4 linked regions of the Saccharomyces cerevisiae S288C genome follow. The protein of the gene in region 2 interacts with the protein of the main gene of each other region in a biochemical or structural test. Each region holds a gene or a part of one and is shown on either strand. Other genes may lie near its edges.

Region 1 (4,838 bases), on a different chromosome or scaffold from region 2:
GGATCTGGCCCGTGGAAATCGTATGGAATGCATAGGCGGCCCGGCCAGGCACCACGGAAAAAAGCTGATTGTCCTCTTTTACGAGCCGTGGATTTGCAGGAAGAAGCAACGCACGCATGGAAAACACGTGACCTGAAAGTCACCGGAACAAATTAGCCACATCGACGTTTCTTTTACTATACAGCTCGAACAAGCTAACTTGAAATGCTACAACCATGTTGGTATAATTGTGTACAGACACGTGCATTTTTGGTACGAAGAGGGTTACCCGGCTGCGAGTTTTTTTCATTATGAACTAATTCAGGGAAATAATCCCGTTCGGGAAATAGATAAACAACGCCAAACGAAAAAAAATATATAGTGCATATATGACGAGATTTAATTATCGCCAATAGGTTCTTTCTTAGGCAAAATTAAAGTTTACTCAATTTCTATTTATACATTAACTGCTATTTACGACGCATTATATATATTCAGTCATTGCGTAGTATAGACGTGGAGAAACGAAAAAAAAAAAAGGAAAAGCAAAAGCCTCGAAATACGGGCCTCGATTCCCGAACTACTAGAGGTTGGGAACTTCCAGGGTCTGATGAATTCTTTGCTGCTTTACCAGGTCAAAATATTCTATTTCTATCAAACTAGAATGCGGGTGTTCATCCATAATTAGACGCGTTTTTTGTTCACCCGCAGCCATATCCCCCAAATATACTTGCTCGAATGTAGCTTGTGGTAGACGAAGAGTTACATCTAGATAACGCTTAGTGTGCAGCTCCTCTAAAAACTGCTTAATGCTAGCGTTCAATGGAGTCATGCGGCGTTGCGAAATTTCGTATCTCCAATGGTAAGATAACTGGTCAAAGGCCTTTTTTAATTTCTGATCATGCTCAATGTCAACAACGTCACTCCCGTTGAGGACCAAGATTTGCTTGGCGTATCCAGTTGCAATATGGTCATCTGTATCCACGTATGCACTTGTTGACGCTAATCTTTCACAAGTTTGTAATGTTACCTTATACTGTTGCTTTTCATCGCGGAAGACGTTTGGATTAACCACTTCTAAATTATCCAAGAAAGTTGTCCATCCGTCCCAATTTTTATTTATCATTCCGATGAAGGTGCCAAATGGGCCTACTACACCGGATCCATCTCTTCCAACAACAACTATTCCCAGTAAATCGTCTGTGTTTAATCCATCCAATATTTGATGAACACTCTTTAGAACTCTCTTGCGATACAGTTCCCCATCAGCATGCGACAAATTCAAACATACAATAAGTTTTAGCGGCGTATCACTGTGCAATCTTTTCCACGGTAGACGAGAATCATGGGATTGTGCTGATATAACATCAGGCGGCGCTCCTAAAGCGCCTATTATATTCACATGAGAGAGTTCCTTCACTGTAGAAACAATCTCACTTAATGGTAGTGTCTCCAGTGAAGAATTTTCTAGACAATACTTCCATTTGGGAAGCAACCACTTTTCGCAGTTTTCGTTGAACCTCAAGTATATTTCAGGTATATTAGTGCTCTTCAAACTACAAAGTAGTACGTCCTCATTGAACTTGATTACCTGGTAAAACTGGTCTCTAGGAATCTTACCCAGGATCTTCATTTCTTCAAAATCAAACAAAACTAGAAATTTGGAGAATAATATTACAAGGTTATTGTCTACCCATTGTTCGCCATCATCAGAATACATTAGTTTGTCAAACAAGATCAAACTGCCAAATTCGCTATCCTTATCCACATTTGTTTCGATATATTGATCAATTTTCTTTTTCCATTCCTTTTCCCTTTCCTCTAGTTCTTCGTGGTCCACATGATTCACATCTTGCAAGACCCCTAAATCATCACTGGTCCGCATTTCTTGAAACTTCACACTGACCATAACATGTTCACCACCCGTTTTACTAAACCACACTTCAGCAGCACTTTCGTCTATTTCATCATCACAGTCCAGTTTTTCATCATCACTTAAATCAAAAGGGTCTGTAGTTGCCATTTTATTAACGAATGGTGAATTTAAAAATGGGCTATCAAGATAGCTAACGGCCTCAAATTGATTGCTATTCGATAAGCGTGGTGTCCTGAACCCATCACATGAAATATCAGCAGTACGAATGAGCTGCTCCTGTGGTGTAAACTGAGGAAATTCACCTGTGAAGCTTCTCGCCGTTTTCAAATCAATCCATTGCTGTTGCATATTGGATGACGGACCATCATCATGAGCGCCTGCGCCCGTTAGAAGTTTGGATACCATTTCAGGAACAATGTCTTTATCCTTTGGCTTGCTCACTTCGCCACATATCTTACACTCAGGAAACTTGCCTTGGAAATAAAGAGTTTCAAATAGCATCAAATAACAGTTATAGTGGCTAGTGTGTGAACACGTAGACTCCACAACCTTTTCACCGGTAAATGTGGAACTAATACTTTCCTCACAGATTAAACATTTCTCACCTATGTACCTTTTTGGACTGAATTGTGAATTGCATTTTTTTATGTTTCTTTCCAGGCTGATCATGAAAGTTGGTGAATCTTCTTCGTAATATGAATCGCCGTCAATGCGATAATCTTCATCCATAACCGTTAAATTGATGTCTGACAAAGTATCACACATAGTTGTAGAATCAGAAATCGACTCTCGGAGTAAACTAGTAGTTAAATTTGTAGCTTTGATGTTGTATTTGTTGCTACTTGTGATATTTACTGGCGATTGTAAAGCGCTAAGTTGTCCTGTTTTCGAAAAACCAGATGCTACTGATCCCGCTGTTTTCTTCAAACTTGGTGGGGGAGATATAGGCTTGGAAAGATTCAGTGGTTTAGGAATATTGCCTCTTTTGGACATCATTAGGCCAAGATTTGGAGTAAATTGACTCTCTTCAATATACCCAAATGTGGGCATCTGTTGCTTCTTAAATTCTGGTGTCTTTCTAAAAACTTTACCCGATAAACCTCTTAGAAATTTCTTCGGTGGTGATCTTTCAGCGTCACGATCTCCACTTGGTGGAGTGTGTATTTTTTTTTCAAACGAAACTCTTGTTGGTGTCTTCATTAATAGATTGCCTTCTTACGCCCACGAAGCTTTCCAGTGGATCTATAGACTTTGTGTAAAGGATGGTCAAGAAATATAAAAGTAAATAGAAATTTTTTGAATAGATAAGATAATATACACTCTCAAGACAGAGTGAACAAAAAGGATAGTTTTATTTTCTTTTAATAATTTGAATATATTATATACTGTGAACCAAGGTACCTTCGCATTTGAAACCTTTACGATGTCATTTTATTGCCTATTTCCTTTTTAGGTATTTTCGGTGAAATGGCTGCATGTTGAAAATTGCATCGCTGAAAAAAAAAGATATGCAAACAAAAGAAAGTTGCATTCTGAAACGACCGGGTCTCTCTTGCCCGCCTAACAAAACCAAAGAGGTAAATGAAAGTAAACAGATATTTTTCCTTACTTGGAAAAATAAAGCAACAATGAAGGTGAGTTTTATAGTCGCTCCTACAGTGATGCAAGTGCAATGTCTTTTTTTTTTCATCCTGTAATGGGTTAAATAACTTCAAAAAGGCAAATCATCCATCTAGTTGTGGATCAATGTCCCATTGAATTTTAGTTACAGCATGTAGTCTCTCCAGGATATCACCTATAGGTGTGAACAAACCAAACTGCCTCTGTTCACCATCGTATGAATGCAACATACCAACAAGCCCCAAACCTAGACGATCTTCTAACTTGGTCAAGATCCATGCGCCTGAATCCCCCGCACTAGCAAATAAAGGAGTTGGAGATGCAACGACAAACTCGCTACTTTGTAACTTTCCGTCGGCCCAATAAACTAATTTTGTAGAATTTAACTCGCCTGAAGTGTATCCCGTAGAAGCCCCTATTTTAAATACTTTCATCCCAGGCTTCATTTTAAAAATTTTTCGTTTCACATGTAAATTTTGAAATCTTAATGTTGGATCTGGGAATGATTTTAAGCCATTACCTAGGGTATTCTGACATTTGAATGATGAATTAACTTTGATAATAGCAAAATCTGATAATCTGTGATCTACGATTGCTCTCTCGCCCCAAACTACTTGACCAAATTTGTTTGATTTCTGCCAGTTCAAGTTTTGATCTATTCTTTGCACTTCCTCCAAAAATGCTGTTTTCTCCACCGAACCATCAGGATACCTATCTGATTCTTTCGTTAAAACTTTCTTGTAAGAAGTCTGTAAAACATTAGAAGGTACCATGACGTTTGGATAATCTTGCTTCTCAGATAATACAACGTGGGCGCAAGTAATGGCAAATGAGCAGCTTGCAAATTGAGAAAATTTTTTATCACTACCAGTCTGAGGGAATAGATAACCCCCTAAAGTACCTGTAATTTTAGCGCTTGTCTCAGTGGATAAAGACATAGAAATTGGCAATTCAAGTGGATTCTCTGAAACTGCATATGGGGGGGAAAACTGAAATTTAGTTGGGGCTATTGTATCGATAGTTGCTGCGGTATGAGACGGAATACTGCCTACTGCTGATGCAGCTTTTTTAATGTAATCTTTCACACAATACATGTGTACATCTGGGAACAACGAATAAAGAACCTTTATCATTTCATAGTGTTCATGTTGCAAGTTGGGTAAGCCAAACATTATTGTAAGAATTGAACTCTTTGGGGTTATACCTCTAAGTATAGGTGCTATAAAAGCACCTTCCTGGTCAGAGATTATTGAAGAATCCATTTTGGTCAACTCATCTAGAATCATGCCTAATTTATCCATACTTGGTAAGTTGCAATGGCTGCCAATACAAAAGACTGATAAGCATGGTAAAACGCCCGATT
Region 2 (5,591 bases):
CCCAAAGGCTGTAGAAATATTGGGATCTGCAAAAAAGGAAAGATTGAGACTAATTGCCACCGCTATTGCAGGTTACTTGGCGTATAAGGATCTGCCAGGTAACAATGCATGGAGGCAGCAATGCAGAAAAATGTCCTCCGAATTAGATGATCCTTACTTGAGAGTTATTTTCGCCTTTATCGCAGACAATGATTGGTGGGATATTCTTTATGAACCTGCCATATCTTTGAGAGAACGATTAGGGGTAGCTCTAAGGTTTTTGAATGATACAGACCTAACCACTTTCTTAGATAGAACTTCATCTACAGTTATTGAAAACGGCGAATTAGAAGGTTTAATTCTCACCGGAATAACACCTAATGGTATCGATCTACTGCAATCATACGTTAATAAAACCAGCGATGTTCAGAGTGCCGCACTGATATCAATTTTCGGCTCCCCTAGATATTTCCGCGACCAACGAGTAGATGAATGGATACAAACTTATAGAGATATGCTTAAATCGTGGGAATTATTCTCCATGCGAGCCAGGTTCGATGTTTTAAGATCAAAATTATCGAGAACTAAAACTGGTGTATTAACTGCAGACATAAAGCCCCGGCAAATATATATCCAATGTCAAAACTGTAAACAAAACATCAACACTCCGCGCACATCCTCACCTTCTAGCGCCGTCTCTACTAGTGCTGGAAATTACAAAAATGGTGAAGCCTATAGAAGAAATAACGCTGACTACAAGAAATTTAATACTGGAAGTTCTGAAGCACAAGCAGCTGATGAAAAGCCAAGACATAAGTATTGTTGCCCACACTGTGGGTCTTCATTTCCAAGATGTGCCATATGTCTCATGCCTCTAGGAACGTCAAACTTACCTTTTGTAATAAATGGGACGCAATCACGCGATCCAATGCAGACAGAAGACTCTCAAGATGGTGCAAATCGCGAACTCGTAAGTAGAAAACTGAAGTTGAACGAGTGGTTCAGCTTCTGTTTGAGTTGCAACCATGGTATGCATGCCGGTCACGCTGAAGAATGGTTTGACAGACATAATGTTTGTCCCACTCCAGGTTGCACCTGCCAGTGTAATAAGTAGTATTGTACAATAAACCAAATCTTGCAACTTCTCTTTATTCTCACAATATATATACATAACCAAAGAAAAAACGTAATTAGTATAACATTGTATTTATGAGGCATTGCTATCTTCATTACCCAGCCCGCCTAGTTTTAAAGGCGAAAAAAACCGACGAAAAGAGTTAACAAGCGTGGATAATAAAGTTGATCTACTCTATCGAAAGTAATACGACAGGTTCAGGAGCAGTAAAAGAGCTACGATTTCACTGCTATTCAATTTGGCTGAGTAGAGACTGATTATTAACCATTGTAAAAGTCTCTGCCACCACTCGTCCACACTTACGTTAGAGGTATTCAGCGTCGATCCCCTTTCAGTATAGATTTTTAAAACTATATTAGATAATCAATAGGAATAAAACCTAGAACAGTAGCTGCGGAGAGAAGCTCTAGCGAGGAAAAGTAAGTATAGTATCACACATATAGGGAGCAGTTTACAGTCATGAGTTTTTCACAATTGGAGCAGAACATTAAAAAAAAGATAGCCGTCGAAGAAAATATTATTCGGGGAGCTTCTGCCCTCAAGAAAAAGACTAGCAATGTTATGGTCATTCAGAAATGTAATACGAATATTAGAGAGGCACGTCAAAATCTTGAGTACTTGGAGGATAGCTTAAAAAAATTACGGTTGAAGACCGCTCAACAAAGTCAGGGTGAAAATGGCAGCGAAGATAATGAGCGATGCAATTCGAAGGAATACGGGTTTCTTTCTACCAAATCGCCAAATGAACACATATTTTCTCGTTTGGATTTAGTAAAATATGATTGCCCTTCTTTGGCGCAAAGAATCCAATACATGTTGCAACAATTAGAATTCAAATTACAGGTGGAAAAGCAATACCAAGAAGCCAATACTAAATTGACTAAATTGTATCAAATTGACGGTGATCAACGTAGTAGTTCTGCGGCAGAAGGGGGTGCTATGGAATCCAAATACAGGATTCAAATGCTTAACAAAGCTTTGAAGAAATACCAAGCTATTAACGTTGACTTTGATCAATTTAAACACCAACCCAATGACATAATGGATAATCAACAACCGAAATTCCGAAGAAAACAACTGACTGGCGTTCTAACAATTGGAATAACTGCTGCTAGAGATGTTGACCATATACAATCACCGATGTTTGCCAGGAAGCCAGAGAGCTACGTTACTATAAAAATCGATGATACGATCAAAGCCAGAACGAAGCCTTCTAGAAATGACAGGTGGAGTGAAGATTTTCAAATTCCAGTTGAAAAAGGGAATGAAATCGAGATTACTGTATATGATAAGGTGAACGACTCGCTCATTCCAGTGGCTATAATGTGGTTACTGCTTTCCGATATCGCTGAAGAAATTCGTAAGAAGAAAGCCGGACAAACAAATGAACAACAAGGATGGGTCAACGCTTCAAACATTAATGGTGGTTCTTCTCTCGCTAGCGAAGAGGGAAGCACATTGACTTCTACATACTCAAACTCAGCCATTCAGTCTACTTCAGCAAAGAATGTGCAAGGCGAAAATACATCAACTAGTCAAATCAGTACGAATTCATGGTTTGTCTTAGAACCATCCGGGCAGATTTTGTTAACACTAGGATTCCACAAGTCTTCTCAAATAGAAAGGAAGCAGTTGATGGGTGGACTACATCGTCATGGTGCTATTATCAATAGGAAAGAAGAGATATTCGAACAGCATGGCCACCACTTTGTACAAAAATCATTTTACAACATTATGTGCTGTGCATATTGTGGTGATTTCCTTCGGTATACTGGGTTCCAATGTCAAGATTGTAAATTTTTATGTCACAAAAAATGTTACACCAATGTTGTTACTAAGTGTATTGCTAAAACTTCTACTGATACGGATCCGGACGAGGCAAAGTTGAACCACCGTATTCCTCATAGATTCCTGCCTACTTCAAACCGTGGTACTAAATGGTGCTGTCACTGTGGTTATATTTTACCATGGGGTAGACATAAAGTACGCAAATGTTCTGAATGTGGTATAATGTGTCATGCTCAATGTGCTCATTTGGTTCCCGATTTCTGTGGCATGTCGATGGAAATGGCTAATAAAATTCTGAAAACGATTCAAGACACAAAACGTAATCAAGAGAAAAAGAAGAGGACAGTTCCGTCGGCACAGTTGGGGTCATCTATTGGTACTGCCAATGGTAGTGATCTTTCCCCATCCAAATTAGCTGAAAGGGCAAACGCTCCTTTGCCTCCTCAGCCAAGAAAACATGATAAAACTCCTTCGCCTCAGAAGGTAGGAAGAGATTCTCCAACTAAGCAGCATGATCCTATTATTGATAAAAGAATTTCACTACAAACGCACGGGCGTGAGAAACTAAATAAATTTATCGATGAAAATGAGGCCTATTTAAATTTTACAGAAGGTGCACAACAAACCGCCGAATTTTCATCACCAGAGAAAACACTGGATCCAACGTCGAATAGACGTTCCTTGGGACTCACTGATTTATCTATTGAGCATAGTCAAACTTGGGAATCTAAAGATGATTTAATGAGAGATGAACTTGAACTGTGGAAAGCACAACGTGAGGAAATGGAACTTGAAATAAAACAAGATAGTGGGGAAATCCAAGAGGATCTAGAAGTTGATCACATTGATTTAGAGACCAAACAGAAACTAGACTGGGAGAACAAAAATGATTTCCGTGAAGCTGATTTGACAATAGATTCCACACACACAAATCCATTCCGCGATATGAATAGTGAAACCTTTCAAATTGAACAAGACCATGCTTCAAAGGAAGTACTACAAGAAACAGTGTCCTTGGCTCCTACAAGTACTCATGCCTCCAGAACCACTGATCAACAATCTCCGCAGAAATCACAAACCAGCACAAGCGCAAAGCATAAAAAGAGAGCGGCTAAACGTCGTAAGGTTTCATTAGATAATTTCGTATTACTCAAAGTTCTTGGTAAAGGTAATTTTGGTAAAGTTATTTTATCTAAATCAAAGAATACTGACAGGCTTTGTGCCATAAAAGTTCTGAAGAAAGATAATATTATTCAAAATCATGACATCGAGAGTGCAAGAGCAGAAAAGAAAGTATTTTTGTTAGCCACAAAAACTAAACACCCATTCTTAACCAATCTATACTGCTCTTTTCAAACTGAAAACCGTATATATTTTGCTATGGAGTTTATTGGGGGCGGTGACTTAATGTGGCATGTTCAAAACCAAAGACTATCTGTAAGAAGGGCCAAATTTTATGCCGCCGAGGTCTTACTGGCTCTGAAATATTTTCATGATAATGGTGTAATATACCGTGATTTGAAGTTGGAAAACATTCTATTAACTCCAGAAGGTCATATAAAAATTGCCGATTATGGTTTGTGTAAAGATGAAATGTGGTATGGTAATAGAACTTCTACATTTTGTGGCACACCAGAATTTATGGCTCCAGAAATTTTAAAAGAGCAAGAATATACCAAAGCTGTCGATTGGTGGGCATTTGGGGTGCTGCTATATCAAATGCTACTGTGCCAATCTCCATTCTCAGGAGATGACGAAGATGAAGTTTTTAACGCTATCCTTACCGATGAACCCTTATACCCAATAGATATGGCAGGTGAGATTGTACAAATATTCCAAGGCCTATTAACAAAAGATCCTGAAAAGAGGTTGGGTGCTGGTCCCAGGGACGCAGACGAAGTTATGGAAGAACCTTTCTTCCGTAACATCAACTTTGACGATATCTTAAACCTTCGCGTGAAACCACCCTACATCCCAGAAATTAAATCTCCGGAAGATACATCATATTTCGAGCAAGAATTCACCTCTGCGCCACCCACACTTACACCTCTGCCCTCTGTTTTGACAACGAGCCAGCAAGAAGAGTTTAGAGGATTTTCCTTTATGCCAGATGATTTGGATTTATGAAGAAAAGGTCATGCCATGATTTATTTAATTTTATATAAAACATCTAAGCGGAAAAGTTGAACTGTTCCGCTTCATAGGAGGAGAGGGTTTTTTTAATGAGATTTTGTTACATAAACTGAAACTATCCATTTTGATGCAATGCCTCTTTTTTGTTCGTACCTATCTTGGAGCATGCATATGAAAAACCTCGTTTAAGCGATGCGATGCGAAGCCGTATGTTCAACAATGCGCATTCTGTTTACATTATTAAGGAAGCATTTAAGAAACAGCTCAGTATTATATTACTACTAACATATTTCTAAAGTTGACAGATTATAAAAGTTACAAAATTGTCAATTGAACAGATACAAAAATTTTATAAATGTTTAAGAAAAGCAGGCATTTGAAGAATGTGTCAAATGCTATCAAATCCGCGAGAGTTCATGACGTCTCAAATGGTATTAACTCCAAATTTTTCGATACTAAGAAAATATGCACATACGGCATAAATGGACGAATCACTGTTACCACATTCGACTATACTCAAAGCCTTTTGGCAGTTGCAACTACTGCTGGGGAGATA
Region 3 (2,944 bases), on a different chromosome or scaffold from region 2:
CAGTTGCTGATATAGATATTGCATTATCATTCTTTTCATCATCGGATAAACTTTCTTGAAAGCCTCTAGTGAATACCAGCTCTGTCCCGGCAGATATTAAAAATCCCCTCCATTTGCCTTCCCATAATAGTTTTAAAGTCTTGTCACGTAATGACGTGCTTAATTTCCAAACACTGGTAAAAATGGAACTATTTATTTTGTTATCAAATTTTTCGATGGTAGATCTTTCTTCATCGATTTTTCTTAATGACGACGAGAATGCATAAGTTAAATCATTTAATAGCTTTTGTTTGTGAACAGGTATATCTAGTGTAGAAGGAATATCGTTAACAGCTGAATTCAGATCCGGTACATTTTCGTGCAGTAGTTTAGTCGCTCTGCTGTTTGGATTTATATCAACCAATTCGTCGGAGATTGGTTCTAATTTATCATTATTGTTTTTATTGGTTTCAAGCAAATGATGCTTTTTTTGCCAAAATTCGCACCCAAATGAAAGATTTGATTCAATCGAATAAAGATTAAAATCATACTTCGCGCAAAAAGTAGAATTTGTCCCTGTCTTGGCCGAATATGTGGAGGATATATGGCCGAATAATGGATTCCAAGATAATGTCAAAGTTAGTGGTCGTCCTGTGTTTGTAGAATGTGTGTAATATCTTAAAGTTGTCGAACAACCGGGGCTTAAACTTACTAACCCTAACCAAAATTCAGCACCAAGCGACAACGAAGAATTATTGTACAGTGAGGTGTTAAACTTGGAAGGCGTGGTAAGGAAATTGTGTAATACTCTATAACCACATAATAGATCACTGGTGGAAAATATCCACTCCTGTAAATTGCGGTGAGAATCTCTTTGAAAATAGCACGTTAAAACGTTTAAGCTTTCTTTGAAACTACTGACACCCTTAAGCATAAATTGGGTTTGTGGACTTAGTCGTTTTATTATCATTGCTTCTAAATCAGAGCTGGGGTAGTACATTCTACCATAATAAAGGGATTTTTTAACAAATTTCGAGTCATGTAGTAATTTCTTGTCATTGTCGACTGTGGTGTTGTCACTACTCAACGTATTCGCACTACTAACACTGAAATTGAGGTTTGGTTGCAATTGTCTGTATGTTTCGGTGGCATCTTGTAATGGGATATCAGTAGAGTTGCGCATGAATTTCTCCAATTGCTGTGCATCGGAGTATAAATAACTCAGAGAACCATTTATCCTGGACCTCGTAGAAAAATCTAAAGAATTGAATGTATTGGGAGTAGATTTGTTGGAAATTTGCAGGTGTATTGCTGAGGGAATTCGGAAATCTAATAATGTTCTCGATGTGGCCGTTATATCCTCGTAGCTATTTTGCGTACTCCAATGGGTGCTCTGATAAAATGCCCTTAGTACTTGGTCCATATAGGGTAGCATCAAGATCGGTCTTCTCTGTTCGTGTCTTTTTCCTAACGTATATTTGCTTTGTTTCTTCACTCAACAATAAAGTCAAAGTAAAATTAAATACTAATTATTCTTAAAAGGGAAGATGCGAAATTTAGCGAAAATCTATTGATTATACACACAAAGGAAGAAAGGTAGTGGAAAGCTAAATAAAGGAGGTCATGGAGCCAGAGAGCATAGGCGATGTGGGGAACCATGCCCAGGATGATAGTGCCAGTATAGTGTCCGGGCCTCGCAGGCGTTCTACTAGCAAGACATCCAGTGCGAAGAATATACGGAACTCCAGTAATATCTCTCCAGCATCGATGATTTTCAGGAATTTGTTGATACTGGAGGATGATTTAAGACGCCAAGCTCACGAACAAAAGATACTGAAGTGGCAATTCACTTTGTTCTTAGCGTCTATGGCCGGTGTAGGCGCATTTACCTTCTACGAACTTTATTTCACTTCAGATTATGTCAAGGGCCTCCATAGGGTTATTTTGCAATTCACTCTTTCTTTCATTTCCATTACTGTAGTTCTTTTTCATATCAGTGGACAATATAGAAGAACTATCGTCATTCCAAGAAGATTTTTTACCTCTACTAATAAAGGGATTAGGCAGTTTAATGTGAAGCTAGTTAAAGTACAGTCTACGTGGGACGAGAAATACACAGATTCAGTAAGATTTGTGAGTCGAACAATTGCTTATTGTAATATTTATTGTTTGAAAAAATTTCTGTGGCTTAAAGACGATAATGCCATTGTGAAATTTTGGAAAAGTGTCACGATACAATCCCAACCGAGGATCGGAGCTGTGGATGTGAAATTAGTCCTCAACCCCAGAGCATTTAGTGCAGAGATTAGAGAAGGATGGGAGATTTATAGAGACGAGTTTTGGGCCAGGGAAGGTGCTAGAAGACGCAAACAAGCGCACGAACTCCGACCTAAATCAGAATGAAAGAGTTGGAGGGCTTCTTCCTTCGAATAAGAGGTCATATTTACCTATGTAAAATTGTAACCATCTATGTTCACACATAAATTATATTTTATACATTATTAGAAGTGAAGCTGTTGTGTCGTGAAAATTTTACAAATCCGTCATTTCATATTTAAGTTTTCCAACAAGTGCTAGAAAACCTAGGGGTTGTTGAAATTGGTTAAACAAGGCATCTTATTATACATACAACAGCATAACGCTAGAGGGGCAAGAAGGAAGAACTTAAAATAATAGGTGTAAAATGACTTTGGCTTTTAATATGCAACGGTTGGTGTTTCGTAATTTGAATGTTGGGAAGCGCATGTTCAAGAACGTCCCCTTATGGAGGTTTAATGTCGCCAATAAATTAGGAAAGCCCTTAACTCGCTCTGTAGGGTTAGGCGGTGCTGGCATAGTTGCTGGTGGCTTTTACTTGATGAATCGCCAGCCTTCTAAGTTGATATTCAATGATTCTTTAGGGGCAGCTGTCAAACAACAGGGTCCCTTGGAACCAACTGTGGGCAACAGTACGGCAATTACCGAG
Region 4 (4,155 bases), 130 kb from region 2:
TAACGAGAAAACCCAGTACCATTGCGATGTGGGTGTTTGCTGGTCTGATTTGTTCAAGTACATTTTATTTAATGTTCATGTCATCACCTACAATCGACTTCAACTCGAAGAGTAAGAAAAAAAATGATAAATAATCTCCCTGTTCAGTACTTTGGTAAAAGCACGCCATGGAAAATTATTTAGAACTTCCTTATACAAAACTAAATATTTGAGCATATTCTATATTCATACATAGATACATTCTTTGAATTTCAAGACTCTTATTTCTCATTTTGAAAGCCAAGATTGGAGGAAAAATCGTAAATTTTTATCCAGTCAGTAACAACTGTTGGCCAGTCGAAAACTCTATCGAAACAGCTTCTATATGTCAGATAAGATAGATTTATTAAATTAAATATATTCAGGAGAGGAAAGACAACATGAACGAAAAAAAAAAAACAGTGTAGAGAAGCACTACAAATATTTTCTCTTCCAAAAAATATAATATACATAAAAAAATTAGAAATTTATCTTTGTTAATGCAGTAGACTTTTAATTCTAAAATTTTGATTTAAAAGTTGAATTTGTTTTCGCCGGCCTCAAGATCGTACTTACCTTCAATGACATCTTGAAGGATACCAGCGGAAGCAGCAACTAAACCCAAAAATGGTTTGGATGGATCTAAGACCTTTGATGTGTATTCTGGGTGATATTGAGTAGCAATATAGTATGGGTGATTCTTTAATTCCAAAATCTCACAACGCTTTCCAGTGTCGTCCTTACCTACAAAGATCAACCCGTTGTTTTCCAATTCATCAACCATCTTTGGATTGATTTCGTAACGGTGACGGTGTCTTTCATGGACTTCGGAGACGTCACCGTATAACTTCTTGATTTGACTCCATTCAGTTTCATTTTGGAAAAATGTTGGTCTCAAACCTAATCTCATTGAGCCCCCCATGGTTTCCTTGTCAATTTCAGGCATGAAAACGACAACGTGATTTTTTTCATCAATGTCTGGATAAAATTCTGCCGAATGACTGTCTTTTCTTCCCAACACACTACGTGTAAATTCAATGGTGGCAATTTGTAAACCCAGGCAAACCCCTAAGAATGGAATGTGATTTTCACGAGCCCATCTAGCAGCCAAAACCATACCTTCAGTACCTCTAACACCAAAACCACCGGGGATTAAGATACCGTCTGCGGTACTGACCATGTTCCATGCTTCATGAAATTTAGTTTTGTTGCTTTCTTGTGCTTCAGGTTCCAAATCAGTAGCTTCCACCCATTTAATGTCTAACTTACGACGACACTTCATGGATGAATGTTCCAATGCTTTTATCACTGATAGATAAGAATCTTTCAAGTTGGTGTATTTCCCAACCAAAGCAATCTTCACTGTTTCCATGGATTCATCGAAGTTACCTGTTGTGGCCTTCCATTTAGACAATAATTCCAGGCCTCTTTGTTTTTCTTCTTCTGTAAGTGATATTTCATCTAACTTTAATCTGGCGTGTAAGTAATCAATCATCTTTTGTTCCAGTAGCAACAATGGGACGTGATAAGTAGAATTAACATCGTGAACGTTAACCACCTGTTCAGGCCCCACATGACAAAACATGGCAATCTTATCGATTGTTGGTTTATCCAAAGTTTCACTACATCTACAGGCGATCATATCTGGAACTAAACCAAGAGACCTCAAACCTTTGATGGCAGCTTGAGTTGGCTTAGTTTTTTGTTCACCGTGGATGACAGGAACTAGAGAAACGTGTATCAAGGCAAAATTTTCCTTTCCAACTTTAAATTGGAATTGTCTTAGTGCCTCCACAAAAGGAGCACTTTCAATGTCACCAACTGTCCCACCCAATTCAATGATACAAACATCTGGTTCCATACCGGTGTCATCTACAGGAATTTTGGCCACGCGCTCAATCCAATCTTGGATAGCGTTGGTCAAATGAGGGACAATTTGCACGGTTTTGCCTAAATAGTCACCTTTTCTTTCCTTAGCAATAACGTGCGAGTATATTTTACCAGTAGTAATGTTATGATCTTTAGTCAAAGTAACTCCAAGGTATCTCTCGTAGTTACCCAAGTCCAAATCTGTTTCACCACCGTCGTCAAGCACGAAACATTCACCATGTTCCAAAGGAGACATAGTACCTGCATCAATGTTCATATAAGGGTCAATTTTAATTGACGTAACCTTTAAACCGAGGGTTTTCATTAGCATACCAGTTGAAGATGCAAGAACACCTTTACCGATACCCGAAATGACACCACCTGAAACAACAACGTACTTCATTTTCTGTCTATAAGTTTCTTTTGTTCTATTGACCAATTCACTGAGAAACTGCCTGAAACTTTTTCGACCTTAGAATGGCAGAAAAATGGCAAATACTGTAAAATACTTAACATTTAACTAAATTTTATTCTATGCTTTTCCTCTCGATGAGATGAGCTGTGAAAAATTTTGAAAAAAAAAAAAAAAAAAAAAAAAAAAAAAATTTGTTATCACCAATAACGAGAAACCTAACTCTAAAACTTAGGGTCAAAGAACAGAACCCTAGGCTTTGTATCCAGTTGAATCACTAATTACGAAAGAATGCTGGTGGAAATAATAATATCATATTGGTGCTCAAATAACAAGAAGACTTCTTTGGAAGAAATTATTACCAATTAACAGTCCACTTGTAGAGCGTACATATTGCCGGGAAGTTGATTACCTTTCACCAGAGGTACAGAGGAATAGAATTTTGCAACATGTTCCCCTATTTAACAAGAATGAATTTATCCATAAAGATGGGAGGGCTAACTTTAAAAGAAAGTTCCCCCAATGCTTTTTTAAATAACACCACTATTGCTAGGAGATTCAAGCATGAATATGCCCCACGTTTCAAAATCGTACAGAAAAAGCAAAAAGGTAGAGTGCCAGTTCGTACAGGTGGTTCAATAAAGGGATCCACTTTGCAATTTGGTAAGTACGGATTACGACTGAAAAGCGAAGGTATTAGGATATCCGCGCAACAGCTGAAGGAAGCAGATAACGCAATTATGAGATATGTCAGGCCTTTAAACAATGGTCATTTGTGGAGGCGTTTGTGTACAAACGTTGCTGTATGTATCAAGGGTAACGAAACAAGAATGGGTAAAGGTAAAGGTGGGTTTGACCACTGGATGGTGAGGGTACCCACAGGGAAGATCCTTTTCGAAATAAATGGTGATGATTTGCATGAAAAAGTCGCACGGGAAGCCTTCAGAAAAGCAGGCACCAAGTTACCTGGGGTATATGAATTTGTATCCTTGGATTCTCTGGTTAGAGTTGGATTACATAGTTTCAAAAATCCTAAAGACGACCCAGTGAAGAATTTTTACGATGAAAATGCAAAGAAGCCATCAAAGAAGTATTTGAATATTTTAAAGTCTCAAGAACCACAGTACAAACTCTTCAGAGGACGTTGAACGGATTGAACACACCATGTATACATGTATATAACTATTGAAAAATATCGATATTCACAATCAAGTAATCTAGCCATGGCTATGAGTTTATTAATTCTAGTATGCACTGTATACTCTCTGCGGAAGAATAGGAGTTTTTCCCCGGAGTGAGCGCTGAAGAAACACATGACGACGTGAAAAAACACTTGTTTGATCCAGCTGAGGTATAAACACTGAGAAATATTTGAGGGTCAAAGAAGCACTAGGAACGTTACAGTTGGAATTTGCTAGTCAATCGAGTTTCCAATTTCGCAACCTTTATTATAGTACTAATCTTATAAGCCATGGATCGCAAAAAAACACTTATAAACTCAAGTGTTTCTAATAATAACAGTACCATCAAGGGCCTACAGTTATTCATTGCAGATCTTCGTTCTGCACAACAAGCACAAGAGCAGGAAAAGAGAATACAATCTGAAATTGTCAAAATTAAACAGCATTTCGATGCTGCAAAGAAAAAACAAGGCAATCACGACAGATTAGGTGGCTATCAAAGAAAGAAGTACGTTGCCAAGCTAGCCTATATATATATTACTTCTAATACGACAAAACTAAATGAAATTTTATTCGGGTTGGAGCAAACGGTAGAGCTGTTGAAGTCCAGCATATTTTCTGAAAAATTCATTGGATATATGACCCTTGAGTTGCTTTATGAACGTAGTGAAGTTG

What was found.
Region 1: of the proteins of PKC1 (region 2) and FAR1, one has a biochemical effect on the other in vitro, tested with the Saccharomyces cerevisiae proteins (one study listed by BioGRID).
Region 3: of the proteins of PKC1 (region 2) and SPO7, one has a biochemical effect on the other in vitro, tested with the Saccharomyces cerevisiae proteins (2 studies listed by BioGRID).
Region 4: of the proteins of PKC1 (region 2) and URA7, one has a biochemical effect on the other in vitro, tested with the Saccharomyces cerevisiae proteins (3 studies listed by BioGRID).

The regions. Positions count from the first base shown.
Region 1 is NC_001142.9:123,274-128,111, forward strand, and holds FAR1 (cyclin-dependent protein serine/threonine kinase inhibiting protein FAR1), read right to left. Parts: upstream 3,056-4,838; coding exon 563-3,055; downstream 1-562. Other genes in the region: SSY5 (Ssy5p), read right to left, coding at 3,580-4,838. UniProt on the Saccharomyces cerevisiae protein: Inhibitor of the cyclin-dependent kinase CDC28. Necessary for cell cycle arrest. Involved in pheromone response. Contributes to mating efficiency. Required for oriented polarization of yeast cells in response to mating pheromones.
Region 2 is NC_001134.8:13,679-19,269, reverse strand, and holds PKC1 (protein kinase C), read left to right. Parts: upstream 1-1,573; coding exon 1,574-5,029; downstream 5,030-5,591. Other genes in the region: SEA4 (Sea4p), read left to right, coding at 1-1,093; putative Rab GTPase-binding protein SRO77, read left to right, coding at 5,391-5,591. UniProt on the Saccharomyces cerevisiae protein: Required for cell growth and for the G2->M transition of the cell division cycle. Mediates a protein kinase cascade; it activates BCK1 which itself activates MKK1/MKK2.
Region 3 is NC_001133.9:134,252-137,195, forward strand, and holds SPO7 (Nem1-Spo7 phosphatase regulatory subunit SPO7), read left to right. Parts: upstream 1-1,602; coding exon 1,603-2,382; downstream 2,383-2,944. Other genes in the region: MDM10 (Mdm10p), read right to left, coding at 1-1,414; FUN14 (Fun14p), read left to right, coding at 2,663-2,944. UniProt on the Saccharomyces cerevisiae protein: Regulatory component of the NEM1-SPO7 complex which acts as a phosphatase and dephosphorylates the phosphatidic acid phosphohydrolase PAH1. Essential for the formation of a spherical nucleus and meiotic division.
Region 4 is NC_001134.8:143,439-147,593, forward strand, and holds URA7 (CTP synthase URA7), read right to left. Parts: upstream 2,291-4,155; coding exon 551-2,290; downstream 1-550. Other genes in the region: MIN6 (Min6p), read left to right, coding at 1-134; mitochondrial 54S ribosomal protein uL16m MRPL16, read left to right, coding at 2,749-3,447; APL3 (Apl3p), read left to right, coding at 3,771-4,155. UniProt on the Saccharomyces cerevisiae protein: Catalyzes the ATP-dependent amination of UTP to CTP with either L-glutamine or ammonia as the source of nitrogen.